Linked DNA regions of Caenorhabditis elegans. The protein of the gene in region 2 interacts with the protein of the main gene of each other region in a pairwise test. Each region holds a gene or a part of one and is shown on either strand. Other genes may lie near its edges.

The links.
Region 1: the proteins of atf-4 (region 2) and aha-1 interact in a two-hybrid assay, tested with the Caenorhabditis elegans proteins (one large-scale study listed by BioGRID).
Region 3: the proteins of atf-4 (region 2) and nhr-105 interact in a two-hybrid assay, tested with the Caenorhabditis elegans proteins (one large-scale study listed by BioGRID).
Region 4: the proteins of atf-4 (region 2) and nhr-138 interact in a two-hybrid assay, tested with the Caenorhabditis elegans proteins (one large-scale study listed by BioGRID).

The regions. Positions count from the first base shown.
Region 1 is NC_003279.8:10,193,375-10,198,615, reverse strand, and holds aha-1 (Aryl hydrocarbon receptor nuclear translocator homolog), read left to right. Parts: upstream 1-1,618; 5' UTR 1,619-1,625; coding exon 1,626-1,669; intron 1,670-1,832; coding exon 1,833-1,941; intron 1,942-2,385; coding exon 2,386-2,697; intron 2,698-2,748; coding exon 2,749-2,866; intron 2,867-3,150; coding exon 3,151-3,392; intron 3,393-3,435; coding exon 3,436-3,644; intron 3,645-4,129; coding exon 4,130-4,457; 3' UTR 4,458-4,691; downstream 4,692-5,241. Other genes in the region: Y106G6E.1 (Protein kinase domain-containing protein), read left to right, coding at 40-156, 205-330; C25A1.15 (Transposase), read right to left, coding at 1,020-1,295; mrpl-34 (Large ribosomal subunit protein mL43), read right to left, coding at 4,710-5,059, 5,155-5,241. UniProt on the Caenorhabditis elegans protein: Transcription factor. Efficient DNA binding requires dimerization with another bHLH protein, such as cky-1 or ahr-1. Regulates transcription of target genes, probably acting in complex with cky-1. Has a role in cellular differentiation.
Region 2 is NC_003284.9:14,808,644-14,812,630, forward strand, and holds atf-4 (Transcription factor atf-4 homolog), read right to left. Parts: upstream 2,021-3,987; 5' UTR 1,963-2,020; coding exon of another isoform or gene 1,939-1,962; 5' UTR 1,899-1,938; coding exon 1,626-1,898; intron 1,102-1,625; coding exon 826-1,101; intron 782-825; coding exon 704-781; 3' UTR 513-703; downstream 1-512. Other genes in the region: T04C10.11 (uncharacterized protein), read right to left, coding at 1,939-1,962, 2,021-2,161; T04C10.3 (Coiled-coil domain-containing protein 96), read left to right, coding at 3,718-3,867, 3,915-3,987. UniProt on the Caenorhabditis elegans protein: Transcription factor.
Region 3 is NC_003282.8:7,048,329-7,053,996, forward strand, and holds nhr-105 (Nuclear Hormone Receptor family), read left to right. Parts: upstream 1-1,827; 5' UTR 1,828-1,834; coding exon 1,835-1,895; intron 1,896-2,381; exon of another isoform or gene 2,382-2,402; intron 2,403-2,607; coding exon 2,608-2,802; intron 2,803-2,853; coding exon 2,854-2,925; intron 2,926-3,128; exon of another isoform or gene 3,129-3,149; intron 3,150-3,220; coding exon 3,221-3,321; intron 3,322-3,399; coding exon 3,400-3,543; intron 3,544-3,624; coding exon 3,625-3,750; intron 3,751-3,797; coding exon 3,798-3,886; intron 3,887-3,933; coding exon 3,934-4,139; intron 4,140-4,203; exon of another isoform or gene 4,204-4,224; intron 4,225-4,690; coding exon 4,691-4,848; intron 4,849-4,899; coding exon 4,900-5,037; 3' UTR 5,038-5,122; downstream 5,123-5,668.
Region 4 is NC_003282.8:9,723,644-9,729,089, reverse strand, and holds nhr-138 (Nuclear Hormone Receptor family), read right to left. Parts: upstream 3,840-5,446; 5' UTR 3,811-3,839; coding exon of another isoform or gene 3,772-3,810; 5' UTR 3,767-3,771; intron 3,706-3,766; 5' UTR 3,642-3,705; coding exon 3,608-3,641; intron 3,559-3,607; exon of another isoform or gene 3,332-3,558; intron 3,189-3,331; coding exon 3,098-3,188; intron 2,977-3,097; coding exon 2,852-2,976; intron 2,652-2,851; coding exon 2,476-2,651; intron 2,054-2,475; coding exon 1,922-2,053; intron 1,817-1,921; coding exon 1,706-1,816; intron 1,654-1,705; coding exon 1,487-1,653; intron 1,394-1,486; coding exon 1,269-1,393; intron 1,222-1,268; coding exon 1,067-1,221; intron 819-1,066; coding exon 702-818; 3' UTR 514-701; downstream 1-513. Other genes in the region: Nuclear hormone receptor family member nhr-100, read right to left, coding at 1-30, 79-203, 254-405.

The DNA.
Region 1 (5,241 bases), on a different chromosome or scaffold from region 2:
AAAAAGCTTTAAGAAAACCTCCAGAGAGTTGTTTTTCAGAAAATTGAGCAAGATGACATGAAAGAGTCAGTAGCAGTTCTTCTTCAAATCCTTGTCTACAATCCGAACAAGCGTCTCTCTGGAATTGAGATTCTCACTCATCCGTACTTTAATGTGGTAAGTTTATCTGAACCTTATGATTGTCACCTAACATAATGATTTTAGTTATTCAACGAGAAAACGGTGAGATTCAATAAAAAGAAGATTTTGTGTCTTTCTGCAGTCGACTTACAATCCGTGAAATCTGGAGATACAACTTTGACGAATGAATCGGTTGAGCAGACGAGTTGAATTCGAGAAAAGAGCACTGATATTTAGATTATCAATTTTGTAATATATGAACAGTTCTGAATGGGGTCTCCAAATTGAAATATATGTCACTATATCTGTCTTTTTAGAAGCATAACTAATTTGAATATGGAGTTTCGTCCTATGGCTCCTCTGGCGAAGAGCGCCTTGGACTGCTTGGCATTGTACACCAACTTTTTGCCAGAATTTGGCAGCGACAATATTTTTTTCAACAGTTTAAAACAATACAAGAAAGGTTTGGGTCAAAGTTTGACATGAATAAAATCAAACTTATGCCAAACTCTAGTGCATTCTAAATCTACAAAAGGCCGAGTGGAAAAGTCGATCTGAAACAAACATTCTGAAAGCTTGAATTATGTGTGTTTTTTTAGAAAGAAAACTTTAACTTGATAAAAAACTACACTTTTGGAACAATTTCACAAAACTCGAAAGTTGGAAACATCCAAGGAACAGTTTTCAGGTCGATATTTTTTAGTTCAAAGTGCGAGGCATGTAGCAGAATGTTTTATAGGGGCCTATGCAAAAGGTTTTCTTTCAAATAAAAAATGATTTTAATTGAGAGTGTGAAAGTTAAAAAAATTTGATCAATCAATTGTGGTCATTCAACTTTCAAATACTGGTCACACTATAAATGCGTGCATTATTTCACTTATTTTCTTGCATTATCACTATCACATTTTTATATGCCCTATCATCCATCCATCATCTTCTAATTTTTTTCCGTTTCCTCCTTCATCATCCTTAAAAAGTCTCTCCCCTCTAATTCCATCTGTTGCTTCTTCTCTCAAATATCCAGTGACCATATGTAGGGGGGTCACTCTCAATTTCTTTTCATTTCTTTCTCTCTTCATAGTAATAATACGGTCCTCAACGGTGTTTGGTGACGAGGTACTGGACAAATAGAAAAAGCGCGCACGCCCCTCTCTCTCACACCATTCCTTTCCCATCCCCCATCATCCTAAAGAAATATTGATTGGTGAGAGTATATGAAAAATGGAGACTCAGACATACGTATCGCGTGTTTAAAGACATTGTGTCTACAATGGAGAGTATTCTCTGACGCATCTTACTCTAGATTTTCCATACTTTCTCTCTCATCGGGCAAGGAAGCGACGATTTACATAATTAATTGATTTACTCTCGATCCATTGCACAACTTGTTTTAAAATTCAATTTTTTAAATTCTTCACCTAATATATTCAATTGCCTATAATTTGTTTTGGTGTCTTTCAATTCTTCTTTTCGACAGAAAAAAACTTTTCTTTATAGTTTTCAGAATGGCTCAGGATATATTTATGGATCCATGGCAATCGGCGACGAGGTAAGGCATAGTGTGACATTATTAGCTTAAGTTATGGCTTTTTATTGCAAAAAATGTGTTGATTAAAATTGGTTTTCTATGCAATACAACTATTCAGATATGCTTATTGCTGGTTATTTTTGGATACTTCTAAACTTATATTTTAAATTTTAAATAATTTCAGCTTCGCAATGGAAGATGAAGATATGGGCATGCCATCTGGAAAATATGCTCGAATGGAAGATGAAATGGGAGAGAATAAGGAAAGATTTGCAAGGGAAAATCATTCAGAGGTGAGGTTTTGAACATTTATATCTGAAAATTTATACTGCTATGTTTCATTAATTCAAATAAAAAGTACGATACTCTGGGTATTGTTTGACCTGTAAAACTGCAATTTTCATGGGACGTAACACAACTCAAAATTAAATTTCCAGCGATTTTAAATTTTTTAAAAATTTCTACATATGGTGCTAAAATTATCGAGTCATAGAGAACTTTTTAAAAAATTATTTCAAACTGTATAATTAAAATTCAAATAGGCACAATTTTAGAGTTTCACATATCATGAATTCGGAAGCCGACCGAAAAATCTTTCTTTCTGCAAGTATTAAACTAAAAACTAAAAGTTTAAAAATTTGGCAATTTACCAACCCTTTGGTTGAAATTTCTGAAATCAAAATTCAATATGGAAAAAGTAAAATTTCTTGCTTCAAATTCAACTGAAAACGTTTTAGATTGAGCGACGTCGCCGTAACAAAATGACTCATTACATAAATGAATTAGCCGAAATGGTTCCACAATGTGCATCACTTGGACGTAAACCCGATAAACTAACGATTCTCCGAATGGCAGTATCACACATGAAAGGAATTCGAGGACATACGGCACAAGATGAAACTTCATATAAACCATCATTTCTTACGGATCAAGAATTGAAACATTTGATTCTAGAAGCAGCGAATGGATTTCTTTTTGTTGTTTGTTGTCAGACTGGAAAAGTGTTATATGTTGCTGATTCAATTACTCCCGTACTTAATTTGAAGCAGGTGAGCAAGATTTGAATCTTTCATTATTGAAATATAAATATTAATTTTTAGGAAGATTGGCTTCAAAGAAATTTGAATGAACTCATACATCCAGATGATCAAGATAAAATTAGAGATCAATTGTGTGGAAGTGAAGTATCAGTTAATAAAGTTCTCGATTTGAAATCTGGTGAGTTATCATAAAAAGAGAAGAGGAGAGATTCAAGGATTTTTTGAATTTTTTCCAAAGTAGTCATATAACTTGGAACCGTTTACAGTAATAACCACTTACTTCAGTCAATCGAATTAAGTAGTATTTGTTTTAAAAGCATCTATTGTAATTTCACTAGATTTTGGCATGCCCAAAATTTGTGATTTTCCGTCAAAAAGGTATCTGCTCGCTCTTAAAATGTGTGTATCTTTAAAAGTACAGTAACCCACTTCAAGTTAACTATCAAAATCATTGAATTTTAGGATCAGTGAAACGCGAAGGAGCATCAACACGAGTTCATATGTCATGTCGTCGTGGATTCATCTGTCGAATGCGTGTCGGAGCCCTTGAACCACTTCATCGTCTCAGAAATCGCCGTCCCTTATTCCAACATGCTGGTCAAAATTACGTTGTGATGCATTGCACAGGATATATCAAAAATGCTCCACCACAGGGAATTAATGCTCCAGCTTCATCTTGTTTGGTGGCAATTGCCAGGTTACAGGTTAGAATAGTTTACGATGCAGATAAACGTGATTTAATTAAAGGTAGCATCAATGCCGGTCTGTGCTGATCCAACATCAACAAATCAATTTTCGGTTCGTGTTTCGGAAGATGGAAAAATGACATTTATTGATGCGAGGGTTAGTGATTTAATTGGTTTGAGCAGTGATCAACTTATCGGAAGATATTGGTGGAATCTTGCACATCCAGCAGATGAGAAGACCCTTCAAGACTCATTTGTGGCTCTTTTAAGGTAAGTTTTCGTAAAAAAACCTTTTTGAACAATTTGCGTCCATCAAATTTCATATTACCTGCTTTCAAGAGTGTGTGCGGTTTTAAAGAGTACTGCAATTTCAAACTTTCTACTCTGTAGAATTTTCGTCGATTTTTCATAGTTTTTCTCACTATTTGTAAAAATACATGTTGTCTTATGTGAGTTTTTAAACAAATAAATATACCTTTATCAAAAAAACTATGAAAAACCAAAGAGAATTGAGTAGAAACATTAAAATTACCGTACTTTTTAAAGGCTCAAACCTTTTTCATTAAACAAACATTTGTCTTGTCGAGACCAGGTACCGTAGTTTTTTAATCGTAATTTTCGCGGTTCTAGGGAATATTTTCAGGCGAATTTTTCACGAATAATATTCGTGGCGGGACCATTTCGAAAAATGTACTTTCCTTTAAACCTATAGCAGTAGATTCCATGTTAACTAAATAAAAACATTTCCATTTCAGTGACCAACCAATGAGAATAAATATTCGAGTACGTACCAGTACTGATTACATTCCATGTACTGTGTCTGCATACAAATTCATGAATCCATACTCGGAACAGTTCGAATACGTGGTTGCAACACATCAAATTGCTCCACAAGAAGATATTAATAATTGGGTCACTGCACCAACTGTTCCTCAACCTCAAGCCAGTGAATTTGGAGAGCTCGGCGGTGCTCCAAGTGCTGTGGATTACGGACAATCGAGTAGTGGAGGATGGAGACCTGAAGCTCAAGGAGCACCACAGGCACAATGGCAATGGGACCCGATGAATGGATATAACCAGTGATTATAATTTCTAGAAATTGATATATTTTTTTTTGAAGCCTATTCCAATGATTCTCATTTCTATCTACTTCTTGAAAAGTTTTCTTTTTTTTTCAATTTCCTTAACTTTTCTGTTCAGTATTTTTCCTTTTTTCTGGACCAACGAGTTATTCAACTCATTCTGAACACTAAATTTTATTACTAATAATATTGTCAAAAAATCAAAAGAAAACAACGAATAAATGAAAACAACTATAAAATAACGGATTATTGCTTATTTTGGTGGATTTTGAAGAATATATTCCGTCGCCGACGTTGCCGTTGACTTGTGCTTTGAGAACTGTTTCGCTGGAAGTTGTTCCGTGTTCATTTCTGTTGGAAGCCATGTTATCGGTGTCCATTGACCTTGAATAGAAGGAACCAATGCACTTTGACGACTCTCTAGCTTCACAACTGGTTCGCCGCTTCTTGAGAATAACAAATGCACATCTTTGCTCACTTCGTCTTGTGTCATGTTTTTTGCATTGATCTGTAGAGTCCGACCATTTCCATATTCTGCGCGGATTGATGGGTTCGAGTTTCGCACAGGCTGGGCATAGATCACAACTGATGGGTTTTTACGGCCTGAAAAAAACGGATTTCCTTCTTTATTTAAAAAAAAATGAAGCTTTTAATTTAGATTCTCTATTAATTTTTTGATCGTAGACAGAAATTCTTACCGATTTCAACGAGTTGATTCTCAATAAAATTGCGAACTCCGACACTGGATTCACTTTGTTTGCAAAACCTGACAGTGATGCGATGAA
Region 2 (3,987 bases):
TTTCGATGCTCCGGAAAAATTTCGATGCTGAAAACTTTGAGGCGGAAAAAGTTTGTCGTGGCAAAATATCGTCGCGGAAAATTTCGCTGCGGAAAATTTTTTTTTTTCAATTTAGTTGCGGTACATTTTCGGAGCATAAATAATTTTGAAAAACGTATATTTTTGGATGAAACCAATATTTTTTAAAAGCGTACATTTTCGGATGAAATAAATATTTTTGAATTTTCTAAACACTTTCCTATCTAAAAGAGTCTGATCCACTCGAAAAGTTTCACTAACCAAATTTCAAATTGACTTGTCCGATTCCCCCCGATATACTTTTGTTTTTCCACTCACTCCTAATTGTTTTTAGCTAAAATATGAGTTTGTCGCCAGTGTTGGAATAATGACGTGCGCTTCAAGTTCACTAGTAGTCATGATGACAAAATAAATGAAAAATGATGACAAAACAAGAAGCTACAATTTGACTACAACCAACTATAAGTGTTGGTGATAAGTTATAGATCTATCGGTTTCAGATACTTTTTTATTTGAAGAGTAAGGTTAATATCATGCAAACGAACAGAATAATACCATTGGCGTATGAAATTTTAAAAAATCCACAATTCGTACAATATAAGGGAAGGATGAAGTTTAGAAAATATTAATAATAATAAAATGAGTTGAACTTTCAAACGGAGTAAAAAACATTAAAAATTGAGGTTTAGTCGGTGACAGTTTTCATTCCCATCTCGGTCATGAACTTTTTGAAGTAACGAATTTCACGCTCCAACTCGGATACCTGGAAAAAAAGCTAATCCTCAAAATTCTTCATAATTTACAAACCTGATCCTTCAGCTTGCCATTGGTGACACTAAGACCTTCAATGCAAGTCATAGCCTCTTCCTTTTCACGACGCTTCTTTTCACGGTATCTGGTAGCTGCGAGACGGTTTTGAGCCTTCTTTCGTTCCTTCTTTTCTGGGGTTTTGTATGGGTGGTAAGATTTTTCGGATTGAGAGTCATGTTCATCTGAAGACCAATTTGAGGCTGGAGACGCGCTCGAGTTGGAACGACGCTCGATTTCTTCGCACTCGCGCACGATTTCTTCGAGAATTTGTTCCTGAAATAACATTTTTGTGAGTTTTTCATATGTTTAGATGTAAAATTCCGGATATACCGAATTGTTTTTTTAAAGTTTCAGTCAAATTTCAAAAGACTTCCAGAGGATTGCAACTCAAAAACTTCTGCAAAAGCAGATAATTGTAACCCCTAAAGTTAAAAAGCTAGGAGGTTGTTTTATTTGAATTTTACCCCTTTCAAAGTCAAATGTTCATTATTCAATGTTACTTTACCAGAAGCAACGTATCGGTTTCATTTACTAAAATATTTGCATTCGTTGACACCAAAAGCATACACAACATTTCCTCTTCCTTATAGCTTTGAATCACATGAATTTCACGTGAAACCACCGTTGCTTCTCAACCTAACTATATTTCCTTAACATAGTCTTCCCGCAGATCATTTTTGATCTCTCAACCCGATTGGTTCTCCGTTATCAAGTAGACAGACAGTTTCCATGTCAGAATTTTCGTGCAATTGTTTTTGTGAAATTTCCTGAGCGCAATTTCTGAACTATCAACTCACTTTTGCTTGTACATTAGTCTCCATTGGCTCAATTGAGCAAAACGGATCTGGTGGAACCGAAGTGCTTTGTGGAACCATTTGGAAGTTGACATCGGAGTTCAAATGATGCTGTTGATAAGATTGATGGGAGTAGGGGTTGAAATATGATTGAGGATATGTCGGAGATTGATGGTGATGATGATGATGGTTATGATATTGTGGGGTGGAATGGGTTTGATTGTGCATCCCATTATAAAGCAAGAACTGTGGATTTTGTTCATTTACATAAGCCATTTGTTGGTAATCATTTTGTCCGTATGCATGACCCGTAGGCTCAACAAACACAGCACGTGATTTCCTGGAAAGGATCATTGTTTAAACTAATTATTAATCAATTAAAAGTTAAATGAACTTACTGTACAAATTGGCGCTGTGGCGGAAGGAGCGTTCGCGATGACGTAAGATTGGTATTGAGACGGTTCGGTGCTATAGTTCATGTTGAAGTTCATAATTTTCAGATGAGATGTTTCTGCGAGAAAGTGGCTGTATGTGTCCAGTGATGTGTTGATTGTGAAATGACAGAAGAGGAAAGGGAGACGACTAGCGCTTGGTGTAGTTTGGCTGCCCCCAATCTTTTCCACCTCCGGCGTTTGCTCGATATTTTTTGTATGTTCTCTGATCGCACCCGTTTCTTATACTATTTCTCTTAGTTTATCAGGGCTGTCGCGTGCTATCTGCATCTCTCGCGGTCTCGTACGTCATCAATCGATGTGGATTAGTGGAGGAAATTCAAATATCAAAGACGTTAAGCTGATCTTTGGATTGAAAAAAGTTTCAGATTAATTTTTAATAAAATGTGTAAGTAATTCAAAAAGCTCCCAGAGTGTTTTCTTACAGTTAGGTATAATTAAGGTAGGGCTTCTCTAAACTTTCTTATCTAAATTTCCCGATATTCGCTATTTCGGATATCGGTTATTTTAGATTTTTAGCGACAGATAGCTCAGTCGGTAGTGGTCGCCGCTAACAATCTGGAGATCACGAGTTGAAGTTCAAGACCCCCTAGGTTTAACCAGCCTCTATTGGAGAGTGGAGCAATCCACTACAGGATTATCGGCCACAGTCCCAGGCTAGGATGTGGCTTAAATTATAGCCCAGTGAGATCACCACCAGTCAGTTTACCTGAATCCCAGTTCCGCAGAGCATAGCACTTGAAGAACGGATCGTCTTTTAATCCTTTAATCCTTTAGTTCGCTGTTTCGAATAAAATAATTTTTTTGAATCGGATATTTTTCGGACAATTTGGATATTTCGGATATTTTTCTTCAAATTTGTGTTATTTTTCTGTTTCAACTAATTTTTATTGAAAAATGAACAGTTTATTGAAAACCGACAACAAAAACATCAGAAAAAACTGTTTAAACAAAACAACATGTTAGAAATTAAAGAAAATAAATCAATAATTTCAGTCAACCAAGTAGCCTTCTGGCTCATCAATAGTATTCATTAGACGAATATTTTTGCTCAAAAATAGGAGCATTTTAAATTCTCAGGTGACAAAGCTTTTCGGTATTTAGTAAGACTCGTGTCGGCTGTTGAACACAGTTTCTCAGCTTCACTTGAGCCAGTTGGACAGATGATAAAGCGTCGAGCAAATTTGGAGAGGCGTGGATATGATGATTTGGTCACAGAATTTACCCAAAAATCTCTCGGACTGATAGTTTCTACTGCAGTGGAGAGATAACGTGTCACCTCCATCTTCACGGTAAAACTTTCGTCAGTTAACGATAGGTGCTCTCCACGAGGCTTGATCTTTTTCTGAAATATGTTTCAACTAAAAATTCTAGTCCGAAACGTTATTCACCTTAATGTGCAGTCAAAGTTGTCCGAGATTTTTTGAATTTTTGAATTAGGTTCATTGAGATGCAAAGAGTCGTCAAGAGCAGTGTTTGCAGATTTCTCCACGTCTTCAGTATGGCTCTGCGTCTTCTTCTTCAATCACCTTAAATAAACTCCAAAATTCAACAAAATTTTGCGTATTTGGATCAAACTCGTTTTTGTTAGAAATTTCAACTTGAGAATTTCATTCCACCCGACTGAACTTCCGTTATAAATCATGCCGTGCTTGAACAGCATGCTCAAAATCTCAACAACTTTTCATGCCTCACTTAAACTGCCAGAAACTTTTCATTGCTGCTTTTTCTTAATATTTATAATGATTGAAAACTCATATGAAGACTGTTTTTCAAAGGTGAAAGTACCAGACGTTAGTTGCAAAGATTTTAAAGTGTCTTTTTGAAAATTCTTTTACAGCGAGTTGAAGCGTTGATTTTAAGAGTTCTGGATGGTCAATCTAAACTTGAAACTCTTCGGGATTCCTATCAAA
Region 3 (5,668 bases), on a different chromosome or scaffold from region 2:
CTGGAAAAGTTTTTTTGTTCTAGAATCTTAAAAAATCTAGAATATTCTAGAATATTGGCTGACTTTTGTATCATAGTTCTAGAATCTTTAAAAAACACAACGTTTATTTTTGAAAAAAAAAATATTTCTTAGATTTTTTAAAAAATTTTCTACTGTTTCAAAATTTGATGAAAGGAAATTGCACATTAACGATTTTCAATTCGTCTATCTTAGATTCTTTTCAATTTAATTTCAATCAGTTTCAATTTCAAATTTAAATGCATTGAAAATATAATTTTAATTAAGTTAAGAAAAACAAATTCAATCCTGTAAGAGGATATTGGAGGAATTTATGCAAGCCTCACAATTTCAAATAAATACAGAATGTCATTTTACCAGAAACAAAAAGGGTTCATGAAATTTGAAAAATATTAGAAATTTATTACATTTTCTTTTAAAGTTCTTCAACAAAATTATTTGCTCTTTGTGCTGTCTACTAGAACATACAATACCACGTGTTTAGTGTTTGTCAAAAAAATTCGGGAGAAGACTACAAACTAAATGAACTTTTAAAACGTTCTGCTTATTATTGATTCCTTTTTTCCATATTCTCCCAACTTTTAGGGACTAAACTCGGATAAATAGTTTCGTTGTTTCTGTTTTTTTAAACTCCGAAACTTTGCTATAATCAGTGTTTCTGGAAGCTTCTTATCTAGTTGAATTGATGAATGATCTTTGTTTTTTATCTTTCAAACAGTTTGAGAAATAATGACACGTGATTGGACAATGATATAGATCGTCTATTTTCCATCTCCCCATCAGAAAGATTTCATACATTTACTCTCATTTCAAAAATAGATTTGAGTGTATTTTTGGCGATAAACTTTTATTTTCGACAAAACGAAAACTTCCGTGTTTTCAGACAACATTTGTGAAAATAGTTAATTAAGTTGTTCGTTTTTTGACTGTAATTAGCATGTCTACTTAAGTTCCCAAAAGATTTCCACAGAATTTTAGACTGAAAATGCATATCAAATTCTCTAATTTTTTTTGCTGTTTCAGTATAGGTTTATAAGTGGGGATGAAGTTGCGAGCTTAGTTAATGGTTTATTTTAGTGATAGTTTATTTATATAATATTTTGATTAAATTCATCAGCGATCAGGCAACTCTCCAAAATAAAATTATATTTGACCTTCCATGCGTACCTTCATGAAAATGCCCGAGATGTATTTATTCTCACGGCAAAGTAAATGGACGTACATAGGGACGTATTTATTCATTTTAATACCTGATTTGAAGTCTTTCTATTCGGTTTCGGGATACTCTAGTTCAATGTCAATCTATGATCTTCAACCTTTTTTCAATCGTGTTCAGTTTTCCCCACGTCATGGTATCAACCTGTTCCTCACCTCCTCCAATACCATTGATACTAGTTTTTTTCTCTCTTTAATTTCCATATCTATTTTGATCTGTTTCTTTATTTCTCTCCCACCTCTTTCACTACTGTTGTCTCTAATCATGACGTAACTGATTTCTATTTTCTCTTTTGATTTATCAGATGACAAGGTATTACATTAACACAAGAGAGTTCCAGACAGTAAGAGAAAAATGATTTTTAAAAGTGTACGACCCGCCCAGTTTTGGTGTTAAGGAGCTCAGAGAATGAGCAAAATATCAGTGATTCAGAACAGAAGTAAGATTTAGAGAGCCGTCTGATCTGTCGAATACGAGACTAGACTCTGCCCTTTGCAAGTACCGCCCACCTAAATCCTTTCACTATATCATTTCCTTGTTATTCATTCATTCTATCCAATTGTTCTATAAACGATGACATGCTGCATTTACAGACGACCTATGACATTCAGTGATCCAATGGATCCATCAATACCCATATTTCAACATCATGAGGAAGAAGGTTTGTTTTTAAACATTTACTTAAACATTTCTTTAAACATTTCAAATTTTAACATTTCAATTGTGAAAAGGTTTTAAAATGTGTTTTCATTTAGCAGCTTTATTGGAATAATTTTTAAAAGTAAAATATTAACTATAAGATTTTAGTTTTAATATTTAAATTATTACAAGATAGCTTTAATCTTTTTGCGTCAAGAGCTCACAAAGTACGTGAGAATATTAGATACAAAGTACGTGCCAAGGAAACTTTTCATGAAATTTTTCATGTGAAAATTATTATTTAAAACGTAATTTGGAAAATGGACCCGGAAGTTATCATAAGCTAAATATCAATTTTAAGAATGTGGGAATTTATTCAAGTTTCGAGATCAATTTTTGATTTTAAGAGAAGTAATACGATTTAATAACCTTGAAATTTCATTAAAAATTAAAATTTTCTGCTGTTTCACCACATGCATGTGCATAAGTTTTCAATGGTTTATGATACTTTGATAAATCGAAGTAAATCATATCGCTTCTTGTTTATACTTTAAACGAAAATTCTAGTTGTAAAGTCAATAGACAAAAATGAAAATTTATTTAAAAAAAAATTGTCAGTGAAAATATAAACATCTCTAACTTATATTAGATTTTTTAGATTAGTAAAATAGAAAAAGCATTATTCCGCAAAATTGTAAGCAGGCAATTTAAATAAAAATTTTTAAAAATTCCAGAAGCCGGTCCCAGCACAACAATAAAAGCGGAGGAGGAAGATGGTCCATGTTGCTTAGTTTGTGGCCGAGTTGCAAATACTGGACATCATTACGGAGTGACTGCTTGTCTTGGATGTAAGACATTCTTCAGAAGAGTCGTACTTCAGAAGAACTCACCCAAATGCAAATACAAGAATCACTGTCGATTGGAGAAAAGTATGTACAACACGTCAAGAAAGAAAAAATCAAATTGTAATATTTTTATAGGCGTAAACGCGAAGAGGTTATGCAGAAGCTGCAGATATCAAAAATGTCTGGAAGTTGGAATGACCGAAGATGGTAAGCTTGTTTAATTTATTAGTTCTTAATTTTTTGAATGTTGGAAGTTACTGTAGAAGGTATAAATGCGCTTTTCCATGTCTTCTTGGTTGCCCTAATTTCCCATCATTTTTAGTAAGTAAAGTAATCTGCAAAACACCAAATGCTATATACATTCTTAATAACATTTTTTGACTGAAAAAAAATTCGGCGTAACCACAGAAACCATAATTTTCTGTCTGAAATTATTCTGAATCAAATTTAATTTGAGCCTAATTTACACTGTGAAACAGAAATAATATTATACAATTTCCAGCCCTACATCCCTGCCGAGATGTGATTGGTCGTCGAGTTCGTAACAATTCAAGTGATTCTTCACCCATTTCAAGTCCTCCATCAATACCAACACCATTATCGGTAAGTCTCTTCCAGTCTTTTCCACCACTTCTCCCATTCTTCCCGTGTGTGACGACTTTCCGAGTGTGTACGTTGCAGATATGCAAACTGATGAATTTGAGCGAAGGAGACCACAAACTTTTGCAGACAATCACCGATATGGATACTGACATACGAACACGTACTGCTCATATTCTTGGAGAACCGGCGAACGGAAATGAACAGATCCATTTTTACAGTCCGGTTAGTTTTATTTTCCAAAAATTTGTTACTGTTTCTATATTATTTAAAAAGTGTTTATTATGTTGATTTGTAAATTTTCAGACCCCAGACTACACAAACGTAATAGTGAATCACGGTATAGGCCCTTCTCTGAAAGTTGATATATTACTACTCCGAGAATGGGTTGATCGAATTCCCGGATTTCGAGAACTCAGTGAACGCTTTCAGGTAGTTGTTTCTAAACAAATACTATTTAATCCAAAATTTATTTTCAGCAACATTTAATGCATCGATTCTGTTTGAGATATACTGTGATTGAACATGGCCTCTTTACAGCTCAAATGCCATATCATAAAAATGTTTGGTGAGTTTCCGTTAAAAAATCCTCCTAATAATATTTAAATAATTCAGGTTCCTCTCAGACCGAACATGCCTTGTCAGTGAATTCGAGAATCTTCCACAGGAAATAAAGAAGCATCTCACTCCGAAAGTAATAAACGAGCAACAATTATTGGCTTCATTCACAGAAATGCTCATTCACGAAGTAGCTGATCCTCTAAGAAGATTGAAACCTGATTCTGTTGAAGTTGCTACTGTGAAGACGTTAATGTTGTTGAGTAAGTGTAAATTTTGCTGTTTCAAATACAAAGTAAAGTTTTCATGATTTGTGATATCTTTCGATATGTCTATAGTAAATTGAGTTCATATTAGCAATTTTATCTAAAATGCGGATTTCGGAAATATCAATCCTATATTTTGAAATCCCAACAAAAAAAACTAATTTGGTAAATATTGAAAATCCGATTTTCAAAAAAAAAAAAACGAGAAATGCTTGAATTCCCTCCAAAATGAAAACTGCAAAAGCAATCAGCTATTTTCTCCACCTTATTTTCAACCAATCTGACAGAGTGCACAAAGTTTGAAATCGCTGATTGGTCAGGCAGTTCTCTCCATTTAAAGGATATTCGTACATGGCGACAGCTAAAAACCGCGTCTCAACAGTTTTTTTTGATTTTCATCCGTTATATTGCAACATATTGCCTCATGTTTTTTGAAATAAAATCCCACATTTTTGTAAGAAACTTTCAAAATTCTTTGTCAAATCTAGCTTAAGTTTGCGTGCCCAGTAAAATTATTAGGACTTCATGAACAGACTGTTTTTTTCCAGAACCAACTTGCCTTCGAGAAATTGATGGTGACTACCTTTCTACTGAAACTGATATCAAATCTGTGAACGATGTACGAAACCGTGTAATAAATGGACTCTACAGCCATTATATAAAAAACGGAATGGATCCAGAACAACTTCCAATCAGAGTTAGTGAGGTGAGTTTCGGAAAAGATTGGTTGTGGTAAATGAAAATATTTGTTTTATAGATTTTAAACCTAACTGGTGGAGTGGAGCAGTGTGCAGCTCGAGCCCTTGAGGAAATGCACCCTACTCGTGTATTCAACTTATCATCTTTTGATCCATACAGTTCTAATGTTATTTTTGGTTACTATAGAGATGTTTGAAACATTTTCTTTCTGACATATTATTACGCTATTCAATTGTGATGATTGTGATTATAGATTTACAAAAATAAACCTATTAATTTCGAGAAACGATTGTACAACCTCATAGTAATCAAATTCATTTTTGGAGCTTCCGTTTCCTGTAAGGGGGGCGAGAGGTGACGTCCCCCGATAACAACTATAAGTTCAATCATTTATTACTAGAAAATACAATAATTGATTAGAACTATAAATTGTATCTTCAGTTTTACATGGCAATCGATGATCCAGCAGATGTACCAGTGCTTGTATCATCACTCTTCTTACTCTTCTTTCCTTTCTTATCCTTCTTGTCCTTCTTTCCCTTCTTTCCCTTCTTTCCCTTCTTAACTTTCACTTTGCGAACCTTCGGAATATGCTTTGCACGAGCTTTGACAAGATATCTAACCAGACAAACATGAAGAATCAAGCAGAAAATTCCAAAGATCACTCCAAAAATAGCTCCAGCCAACATTGGCTGTGGAATCGATTTTCCATTAATGGTTGATCCTTGATCTTCAGGCGCATGTGGCGCGGTTGGGGCGGTAGTTGAATTCGACATCTGAAACTTTTTATGAGCATTTTAAATCTTTGAAAAAGCTGTGAGACATGC
Region 4 (5,446 bases), on a different chromosome or scaffold from region 2:
TGATTTTTCTTGTCCTCTCACTTCGAACAGCTGAAATATAAACTATCAAACGGGATTCTATTTTGTACCATATGATACCATTAGCATCCATTCCAACATGTAGACATCTTTTCAAACGGCATGCTCTGCACCGATTACGGTATTTGAACTCAATAATACACTCATTATTGAAACTGCATTTATAGGTTCGTTTCTCCCAAATGCTGGAAAATTATTGATTTAGAAAAAAAAACAAAAAGAAAATAAAACTAACCTTCTTCTAAAAAATCCTTTGCATCCATTACACGACATTGCGCCATAATGTCGTTTTCCATGTGGATCTCCACAGACAAGACATGACGTGTCACTAACTGGTGATGGATTCCTCCATTGTATTTTTGAGACCGAATTAAAAGGGATATTCATATTTCTGAACTGAATAAGCACTTATTTGAAAGTTGTGAAATTTGCAATAAATAGAAATTCGTACTGGAAGTATTGCCAGGTTAAAATTTAAAAAAAACATAATAATTTCAAATGTAAAGAAATCTATTATTAACATTGATGTTCTTGGAAATTTACACTGTTTGAGGGGAATTAGACACCGAATTTCACATGGGAGGGAGATAGTTACAGAGGTAGGGAATATATCACAGAGAGAAAAGAAATGAGATCGCAAAGTGAGATTCCTAATAGTTTTCATATCAAAAACAAACTATTTTCTAAGAAAAATCGTCTTGCCGCAGAGCTGAATGTACTTCATATGGCAGACCAACCAAGTCAGCCATATCGAAAATGGCGAGAAATGTGACGTTGTCATCCTCTTGACGAGCGAGGCTCTGGAAACGAATGTATGTTTGGTAAAAAAAAACTGTTTTTTATTACAATACTTTTATATTGACTTGGCGTTTCCTAACTTCACCCTAAACATATATAATTGGTTTTTAACTCATTAATACTCTTGCCAATCCAAGTTAAAATGACATAGAAAAGTTTGGTAAGTTTTGAATCAAACTTGGGCAAAACCTGGATGCGGATTTTTTATTCAGTTGTATTTCAATCGGCAAAACAATAATATTACTGTTACCTGTACAGAAGTAAGCATAATCATGAGAGTTGCCATCCGTTCCATTGCCTTCAATTCTGATGTTTCTCTGCTCAAAACATACTCGGACAGAGCTTTTGTGAAAACATCTCCAGTTAACTGGAGAAGTTTATTGGCGTCACTAGAGAGACGATAATCTAGAAATAGTTCAATGTAAATTTTAAAATTGTGAAAGTTAGCTAACCTGGTCTAAATAGTGTAATAGCGAGCATACATGAAAATTCTTCTTCTGTCATATTGATCCCTTTCATTCTATAAACTAGGCCATGGATCATAGTATCCGCAATTTTTGAGTAATAATCGTTGCACCTGAAAAGTTTTAACAAAATTATTGTTTGTCGATTATTTTCGAAATTGATTCTCAGACAATCTAGTTGAACATGAACTTGGAAAAAAACTAACGGTTTATCCATGAATGCTTGCTTTTCTTTATCAAGTGGATACCAAGCATCATTTGTAAATGTAACTCCATCGATATTATTCTGATATGAATGCCATGCATACAGATTCCAAGATACTGGGGCAAATCGAAGCTTGAATAGTTGCTCCCTGTCCAAGTAATTCAGTCTCTGTAACAGAACACATAAAATTGTTTAAAAATTCAATAAGCGTGATACAAACCTCCAACTCTTCAAATGAGCTCAAGTAATCGTGAAACCAAACAAATGTTCGACACCAAGTCACTTTCAAATCGTGAATGTCTGCCAAACGACTCGTATTTCCCCATTCAAGCTGAAAATCGTTGTTTTAAATTTCTAAACAAATTTATATACAAATCTAATAATTTGTAAAATTCTAAATTTTGATATTCCAGTGCCATACGATTTATTTACTAACCTTTGTCCTCGTTGCCACTTTTTCCGGGTTTTCAAGTGCAGATTGCAATGAGATTCGGACATTACACATTGATCCAAATCGGGCCACCAAGTCATCAAATTCGGGGCAAAATGTGGTCTCTACTCGTCTTTGCTGAAAAATCAGACATTAGAAATGATATTTCGTGTATAGCGTTTGCCAATTCACATTGATCATTATTTAAATTTTTGAGTTGTGTGCACATAAAATAGGAAAAGATAGACTACTTAAAGGAGCTATTTTTATTGCAAACTACATATTTTATTTTTCATTCCCAATGCCCATGCCCACACACAGGACGAATTTCCCATGACACCTCGCTCCCATTCAAATTTGTTTAGGGAAACATTTTTTAGAATAAGCCCATTTCGATTCAACAAACATTTTTTTCTCAAATATTTACTTTACGATTATCTATTTTATTTGATTACTAAAATATTTCTGTGTCTAATTTACCAATAATGAACCCATTGGACAGTCGACCTTTTTGAATTCAAAGAGGAATAATTTTGGTAAATTCTTTTTAAATAACTTACAATATTGAATAGATGTTTAACAATTGGCGGGTGATCAACGTCGGGTGTTGAACTAGAACTTGGTTGGGAGCTCGTAACAGAATTCGATGTTTGTAGACTTGAACGTTTTCCTTTTAATGATCCTTTTGGTTTTTTTGCAGTTTCGTTTGGACGGATTTCTCTTTCAGATTGGACAGCTAAAATTACTACTTTAATTTATTATTTTAGATAAACCATAAATGTTCTCAGAAGATTAGTAATATTTCCGCAATTACGTATATACATAGCAGCGCACTTTTGTAACCGTGTACGCCTACCAAAAACCTAAATCTTAACTAACACCTTTTGAAATTTAACCTTTTATTAATAAAAATAGAAATCAAGAAAAAACATTTACCTCTGGCGTCCATGCCGACCATAACGCATTTGTTAAAACGACAAGCTCTGCATCGATTCCTGAATTGTTGCAAAACTTCGCAGTCTTCATTGGCAATACAGAAATATGTTCGCTTTTCCCAGACGCTGAAAATTGAAAATTGTTAAAATACCAAACAATGAACTCATTGGCTTGCGGTACGATAATTTTTGGATGCTTTATTCTTTTGAAGCTGGGACTTTCCAGCAATTAATATAAAGCGCTCACCTTCTTCTGAAGAAACCTTTACATCCATTACATGCCACTGTTCCATAATGTCGACTAGCTTTGTCATCACCACAAACGAGACATCGTCGATCTGACGGAGCAGTATTGGAATTTCGAATCATAATTTTTTTTTGTTGAAATATAAATTTTTGGTGATAAGCTTATGACTGATTTAAAGTACTAGTCAGCTACTCTCAACACGAAAGTAAATGACTCAAATGTGAGAGAGAGAGTGAGAGAGCAGGTAGACGTAAGTAAGTAGAAACGAAAAGGAAATGAGGGGGTTGACAAGAAGGAGCTTATTCGTAGAATACGCTTTCGTTGTCTCATGCCTCTTTTTCTGATAAGTGGATGTATCAAAGTTAGAGTAAACTACATAGATCAGAACTTTTTTCGGTATGAACTTTAAGAAATTCTATATATTGTGACGGGGGATACCTTTAGTCAGAAGCACTCATTAGAAGGGTGAGAGCGTCTTATTATTATTTTTAGAATATCAACAAATCTCACTATTGTCGTTTAGTACTCGAGGATGAGGAGACATTGAGAATATATGTGTTTGTGGACCCGAGAAGCACGTAATCACAGTCAATGAATTTGATTATATCCTGAAAATATTTGTTAAATTATTAGAAAATTCAATTTTGTTTTTATTTTAATTTCACACACCTTTTTTAAAATGAGAAGTCAATAATTACCAAAATAGTCTGCATAGGTTAGAGTTGATCGACGGTAAATGTATCTGAAAAGTTCAGACGTTTAGAAACAGTGAAACCAATAAAAAAAAACCAGAATATTTAAGAAAAAAATGGACGAAAATTGATAAAACGACAGACATTGGATATGATACTACAAAATTCCTAGTCTTCAAATTCACATAAGAAGATAGAATTTTGGAGCTGAATAACAAATATGAAATCATATAAATCAGAACTCAAAAAAGAGATCGCTGAAACAGAGTATCATTAGAAGTTTAAGACAGTTTAGGGTCAGCTTTCTGTTTTATTCTTGAAAATGAATTTATCGTTTACTGGAACTTGATAAAGCGTATATATTTTTGAAACTAAAAACACTAACAACGCTTGCTGCTTACTTAATATCTTACACGGAATTGATCACTCACTGATTTAGGAACTCACTGAATAGCAAATAGAAAAGCTTTCAAAAAATGAATTTAAAATGCCTACTTCGCTTCGTTATATACCAACACATGCCTGCTTCTTTGTGCATACCGTACCCCTAAACCACACCTAGAAACCGTACCGGCGCCCACGGTGCCACGCAAGAAACAATAGAAAAGCAACAAAACACAAAACCTTCCGGTTTTTATCTCAACGAAGCAAAATGTTGCAACGAAGTTTAACGCAATGAAATCCTCATATCAAAATATGAGAGATAGTACGGATATAGGTGAGAGTTAGAGACAAAGGGAAACAACCGAGACGACGCCAGCCGGCTCTGGCGCCAACCATGGTGGCCCCAGATATTGGGTGGACTGTACGTCACAAAAGTCGAAAATCTCTGTCACGTTTGAATCTGTAGTTTGATTTGATATCTGACAGTCTTTTTCGGTTGCGACGTCACACATTTTCGGGGACAAGACATTGTTGGTAATGATGTTTCAAATCGTTGAAGTGACCCTTCAAAATCTTGACGTAGTCAGGATTGAAAGTTCACAGAATACTATGAAATTATTCAAACTTATTACTAAAACTATGACGCTTTAAACGGAAGTAAGGTATATTGGTGCAAAAATCACATTAATGTTTCACCAACAGTTAATATTGTTTTAAAAGCTATGATTACGTTTTTATCTACTTTCTATATTTTATTTACTTCCTATGTTTTCATTATATTTTTAACTGGAAAAATTGGCTAACTTATAGTAAAAATGTTAGGAAATAAACCCGCAATATCGATTCAATCCAGCTAGTAAAGTTTTTAGCAGCTGAATCAACAAAACAATTAACAAAACTTTGTAGTTCGTCTATGTTTGGACCCAAATTATTTTCGAACTGTCGATCTTTTTTTGCTAACCATTACTGTGAATTTGTGACAAAAACAATGAACAGAGATTAAAAGTGACGCGTAAAACAGATAGTTCCATTAGATTCAAATAAATTTGAAACGGAGATCAAAAAAAGTTCGAAACATATTCAATGAGTGGGTGTCAAATAGAATGAGATTCTAAATAAATGTGTGCATAAAAAGAGGTGACAATGGTTTTTGATCGCAAAAAAAGGAAACGTGAGAACTTTGCTCTGAAATCAAATTGATACCTTTCTCGTAGCAGGTGTAATATTTATTAAACTTATGTCCGACATATCTTTCAGCAAGGAAATAAATAAT